2 linked regions of the Oryzias latipes genome follow. The protein of the gene in region 1 interacts with the protein of each later gene in a pairwise test. Links are inferred from orthologs where the notes say so. Each region holds a gene or a part of one and is shown on either strand. Other genes may lie near its edges.

The links. The genes of interacting proteins can lie anywhere in the genome.
Region 2: the proteins of fgfr1 (region 1) and grb14 interact in a two-hybrid assay, tested with the Homo sapiens proteins (2 studies listed by BioGRID, with this or other methods). The link is inferred for Oryzias latipes from reciprocal best matches to the Homo sapiens genes FGFR1 and GRB14.

What each region holds. Positions count from the first base shown.
Region 1 is NC_019867.2:20,593,812-20,597,311, reverse strand, and holds part of fgfr1 (fibroblast growth factor receptor 1 precursor), read left to right. Parts: intron 1-304; coding exon 305-501; intron 502-786; coding exon 787-932; intron 933-1,146; coding exon 1,147-1,268; intron 1,269-2,049; coding exon 2,050-2,160; intron 2,161-3,500. UniProt on the Homo sapiens protein: Tyrosine-protein kinase that acts as a cell-surface receptor for fibroblast growth factors and plays an essential role in the regulation of embryonic development, cell proliferation, differentiation and migration.
Region 2 is NC_019879.2:21,292,666-21,295,490, forward strand, and holds part of grb14 (growth factor receptor-bound protein 14), read right to left. Parts: intron 2,507-2,825; coding exon 2,396-2,506; intron 2,297-2,395; coding exon 2,201-2,296; intron 1,856-2,200; coding exon 1,793-1,855; intron 1-1,792. UniProt on the Homo sapiens protein: Adapter protein which modulates coupling of cell surface receptor kinases with specific signaling pathways. Binds to, and suppresses signals from, the activated insulin receptor (INSR). Potent inhibitor of insulin-stimulated MAPK3 phosphorylation.

The DNA of each region.
Region 1 (3,500 bases):
GGGCAAATTCTGAAAGTTTTGCTTTACTCTGAACCTAAATCTTAGCTTGGATTAATAAAACAAGAAAAAGAAACATGGATAGTCGTAAAATTTTGAGTATACGTTTTTTTGGACTAAAGTCCCAAATGTTTATAGTTGTTCAAACCATCGTCTCCATCCTGATTGAAAAAATTTTTCTAAAACTGACCCAACACTTTTTAGGAGGTTTAGGCTTCAAGTATGCTTTGTGTTTTTGCATGTGAGAGTCTATGATGTTAATTAATCTATCCTAGCTGACTCCGCCCTTGTCCTGTCCCTCCTGTAGCTGTCACTCAATACCCCCCCACCAGTCATACCTACCTGGAAGTAGGCATTTACTGTGCTGGCTTCTTTTTCATCGCTGTCATGGTTGCCATTGCCGTCATCATCAAAATTCGCTCCACATCGAAGAAGAGTGACTTCAACAGTCAGCTGGCAGTTCACAAGCTGGCTAAAAGCATCCCTCTGCGCAGACAGGTAACAGAAAGTAGATAGGGGGTTTGGAAAACTCTTTTCCCCTCTTGTTGTTTATTCAGATTTTTTGAAACTCATAGCTTTTAGTATTTTTGCTTTGTTTGCACATTTCCAATTCTGCTTTTGTGGACGTTTGTAAATAAAAGCATTCAGAACTTGCAGGTGTATTGTAGTTGCTGATGCTCATGTGTAGCAAGTAAGTATTTAAGCTGCTCTGAAACTCCCAAACTGCAGTGCTTTAACACGACCTCTGTTCCAGTATGAGAAGATTAATGTAACTGTTTCTTACATCAGGTGTCAGTGGACTCGAGCTCCTCCAACCATTCTGGAGTAATGCTGGTTCGTCCCTCCCGCCTCTCCTCCAGTGCCTCTCCTATGCTGTCAGGAGTGTCTGAATACGAACTGCCCCAGGATCCACGCTGGGAGGTCCCAAGGGACAAGTATGTTTTTCAGAAAAAACCTTGAGAGTATACCTGAACAGCAGAGGTCTCCTGGGACTGCATTTTTCCCACCTGTAATCTCAATTAAAAATAAAGGAGTTGCGTAGAGACTGAGAAAAATCTAACACAAGCTTTAGATTACAAATAAATCTGTTTTGTTTTGAACTAAAATGTATTTTTTAAGATGAACACATCCATAATTCTCTCCTCACAGACTCGTTCTTGGAAAGCCACTGGGTGAAGGATGCTTTGGTCAGGTGATGATGGGGGAGGTGCTGGGTCTGGACAAAGAAAAGCCAAACCGCGTGACGAATGTTGCAGTGAAAATGTTAAAGTGTAAGTTACTTTCTTCAAATGAAGAACAAGAAAGTTGGACTTGTAGAAAAATTTCTTTCATTGTCCCAAAATGGGTTAGGCTTTAGAGTTAATGGCAGCAAAACGTCAACCTGGGATGCACAGATTTTAGAAAAAACTTTTTTTTTGTTGGATTCCAGCCATCATTTTAACAAGAGAACTGAGTCCAACATCTCATGAAAAGGTTCTAAATCTTTCTTAGAACACATGCGACATGCCTATTGATTCATATTTGTGAATCTTTAATCTATGTTTACAACACCCTAGGCAGCATTCATTCAAGCACCCACTTCCAATGAAAATTCTATTTAAATGCGTTTTTCTGGCTTCCGTGTTCAAAACCCTCACGTTCATGCGTAGCTACGTTAGTTTTTACAACCGTAAAAACCGTAAACTTCGACATATGGGGCGGACAAGGCAGGAATCAAACTTGCAATCTTCCAACCGACCACCCTACCATTGCACCATGGCCGCCCCATGTCACCAAGTCTTATTGGAGTAGAGCTGTGGAAGAAAAAGCTGGACCAAGATTCAAGAGAATCACCGCTTGACATTGCACACCAAGCCTGTTCCAACTGTAGGTTGGAAGAGGCTTGGGATGCGCTAGTAAACAGTAAAAAAAACAAAAAAAAAACTCCATGCTTGTCCAGTGTTAACACCATGGGTTCTTGAACATGCGGCAAATGCACGGTGTGTACATAGCTTTGTAACTGACTGGATGTAGATCAATCAGCCTGTAGTGACTTATTGTCTTCTCTTACAGCTGACGCCACAGAAAAAGACCTTTCAGACCTGATTTCTGAGATGGAGATGATGAAGATCATTGGGAAACACAAGAACATCATCAACCTGCTGGGAGCCTGCACACAGGATGGTAAGACCAGATGGAGGAGGTCCTGCTTCTGACCTTTTCTGCTCTGATTAGACCATCATGTGCAGATCTGTCCCTGAGACAGGAATGTGAAAATGACCTAAAAAGATGTGCTGGACATCATGAACAAATGATTTCAACTCCAGTCTTGACTCTTGACACTCAAATCAGATGCTCATGCTTTCACTCTGATTAAGAAAACCAATCTTCAATGATCCAACAGAGGGTTTCTTCTGCTGCTTTTCCTTCTGTTAAAAGTTCTTTAAAAGAGCTGCTATTGTTTAGCATGTTGGGTTTGCTTTGCAGAGCTTTGATGGTGTGAACAATGTGAATGCAGCAACGCAGAATTCTTAGACGTGTGTGGAGACGAGACACTCGGGACCACAGTTCAAAAATGGAACAAAAAGAGAGTTTATTGCGTTGAGTGATGTTGGCGTCTTTGCTCTGTCAGTTTGTTGGAGCCAGGAGCCTTTGTCAAAAAAACAGAAATACCTCAGGAGTTCATGACACTAAAACACCAGGCTCTGTGAAACCCTCTACAAAACACACAACTAGTAAAATAATAAACACACATGCAATTTAAAACAAAGCAGCTCTGGCAACAAAATAAAATCCGTCCTGGGTTAACTAATAGCAAGATAAAAAAAACAGAGGGGTACTTGGCTCAAAGAGGGGCAGGTCACAACCACACCCCTCTGTGTTCCAATGTCGCTGTCCCCTCTGACCGCTGTCTGGCTCCTGACTCAGCTGCTCCTCTGGTGCCGGCCAGGGCTCGTCTATCCTGACTTCCAAGGCGCCCCTCTCTGATCTGTCCCGGCGGCGCTTTACCCAACGATGAGTGTTCCTCTAATGTCAGTCCAGCGCTTGCTTGTCCTGGAGCACTCCTCCGACCAGTCGCTCCTAGCATTTGGTTGTCTGGTGGCTTTTCCTCCAACTGCTCATCTTCCACTGCTCAGTATAGCTCTTCTCGGGCAACGGCTTGTGAAATAAGAACACGGTTCACCCTGTTACATGAAGTTCAGATACCTCTGTTGAAGAACCGAGTCTGTACAGTGCTGGTCCACCGATATTAATTGCAACCCTTTCGTACACATGCACACTGTCAGAGGGAGATGGTCACGTTGTTCCTTGTCTACCGCCCTCCAAAATGGTTAGGCTGGCTGGCGGCTGCTGCCAGGGCGTCCGTGGGGTTCCTGCGCCCCTAACCTTGCAGCACTTTTTCCGCGAGGCGAGTGAGTCCACAATATCTGAGTTGGGTGGACCATATCCCAGAGAAGATGGGTAAAGCTCCTTTTCTGGGCACACCGGGGCAACGCAATTTTTCCATCACTGCTCACAGCAAC
Region 2 (2,825 bases), on another chromosome or scaffold:
ATAAAAAATAGAAGGTACTGCGTTGTGATACTGTGCTGCCACCTAGTGTCTTCTTGATGTCATTTCATGTTCATAAATTCTGGATGATTCCAGACAGAAAACACCATTGAGAGAGGATTAGAGTGGCTTTGCGAAGAATGACACACAGCCGTATTTTAGTCCCTTAAACTGTCATGGATTGAGTGACTGAATAACAGCACACACACACACTCACGAAAATACTTACACGGATTATCCCAAAGCGTTTAAATTTCCACACTAAGCTTGCAATTTAAGCAAGTGCTCTTTAAAAAGTCCGTCTATGCTTTATAAGTCTATAAGTCTATAGTTTTTTGTTTTCAGGTTTAAAATCTTTTAGGAATGCAAATCTGCTGCTGAGACACTCAATCATCCAGCACAAAAACATGCATTTTTTCCTTTTTTTTTTGTCACTACTTCACTAATGAGGAACGATTACAAGTACAGTAAATATTTTCCATGGTTCCTTTAAAATAAATCAAACTATGTAAATGTTGTGATGTGCATGTCCCCTGTTTCACTTTTCTGTCCAAGTACCATAAAATGAAAATGGTGAGTTTTTAAGGAATTTAAAGCAAACCTTTATTATATACATAGGTTTTGGATGAACCAGCCACATAAATAATATCATTATATCGTTATTCATTCAACCACTAAGTCTGCTTCTTTGTAGTTATTATATCTTGATGGTCATAGAACATTTTGAAACCAAAGAATGAGAGAAAAAGAATGTGAAATCTGACAACTGTGGATCATTATTTATTTATAGAACACCAGCAGTCCATAAATATGATTCTAATACTTAAATAGAACACCTTTTTCTTGCATTTAGAAAAGTATTTCTTCTTCCTAAAATATAATTTATTGCATTTTAAATTGCAATTTTAAGTCGTTTAGTTGTTGTTGATGAAATGCTGCACAATAGATGTACATTCATACTGCAGAAGGAAACATTAAGCAATAACTGTAATAACACCAGACTTGGATTATTGAAAAAATGCACATTATTTACTTTTCTTAAAACTAACATCTGCTACTATTGTTTTCAATGAGTGCATTTTAGAAATGATAAACAGTTGCCACAAAGTTAATCCAAACACACAACTTAATTTTGCCTAAAACACGTTTATATTCAGCCAGATTTTGTTTGCAATTGTTCTTTGAGTAAAGTTACAGTAAGTGTATGAAAAGCAAATGAATGTATCTGTATTTTCTCAGCAGGATTTTAATTTTCAGGCTTTTTTGTCACAAGGTAGAAACCAACTGTTTAGGGTATTGGAGGTGTTAGCTTCATTATAGTTCCACTCTATTTATCTTTTGATGTATTCTAAAAGCTTTTCCAGTAGTCTTTTAATGATGATGAAGCCCTTTTTAGCAAAAATCCAAAAACCTGTGTAGTTTTCTTGGACATAGTTTCTGCATAGCGGCAGTAGTTCATCAGAAATTTGCCTCTGAGTTGTGCGCTGGACTGCTGGTGTAGAGCAACCCCACGCCCCCATCCCCTCCTGGTTGCTGAGAGCTCGGAGCAGGGAACTTGTGGCCCGCCCATTGCATTTTCTAAGTCGCAAACATGCTTCGTTTTAATTAGCATTTTTCATCTGCTTCTAATTGACAACAACTTGAATGAAGAAATACTAAAAATGCTACTTTATATATGCCCACTGTAATAAAAGAAAATGCTATACGAATGTGTAAAAACACCAAAAACACAATTTTCATCAGAGTGGTTCTTTAAATACTCATGTTATTTTGCATAACAACAAGGTTGTCCTACCATGGGTGAGAGTTTTTGCTTTTGATGAGGCTGAATAAAGTTTTGGTACAGTTGCATCCCAAACTGAAACACAGAGTAAAGTCAGCATCATGAATCTGAACACAAACACGAGTTAACTTTAAACTCCCACCAGACCAGCACTGTTCAAGTGAAAAAGGAAAACAGACTCAGACATTCATTCCAGCATTTTAGCTTTTATGGATTACCAGGAGTTACGCCAACTTTAAACTTTTTTTATCATATATCCAGACAATGAACACATACTCCTTATATCAAGTGTAGCAGTATTAATCCAGCATCTCAATAGATTTTCTCAACTTTCCGTCAAAGCTAAATCTGATTCTTGCACTGCGTCGGCATTCCTCCTCTTAGATATCACACGTTGGAGTTATTCATCTGTAAGCCAACCTTTAACAAGCGCATGGCGGTGATCCAGCAGGTCTTGGTGTGCTCAACATCGGCACAAAGCAGCTTCAGGTCTCGAGCTGAACAACTCTTCGTAGACTGAGGCACGGAGATAAAAGCAGACAAAATCGTTAAATGAACTTAATCACACGCCTCAAACGTCTCTGCAGTTTTTTCATTATTTTCTTTTCTTGTTACCTTGATGCAGAAAGCAAATTCTGTTGGTGCCCCATATAGTTTTCTGGCTGACAGCACAGAGTAGATATCACAGTCAGTGAAGTCAGCAAAGAACTGCAGGTGCCTGGGTTCCTGTCAAACAAGGAGAGCTCACATTGGAAACAAAGCAATGAATAAATCTTCAATATGACACTTAGAGAATGAAAGCAAAATGAGCAGCAAATGCTATGTCATCTTGAATCAAAGCTCAATCTCCTGAACATTGGAAAAGGAGGACTGTCTGCAGCGCAATCCGACTCCAGCACATTCAAACGTCTTGAAAAGCCATAAAACTCATTTTTATCATAGCCAGATTTTCCAGGTCATGAAAGAAATGTTAAATAAAGCCATAATGGCATATAATCAATAAGCAGCTTTATCAATGGCTGCATTGTGCCAAATATAGACAAAC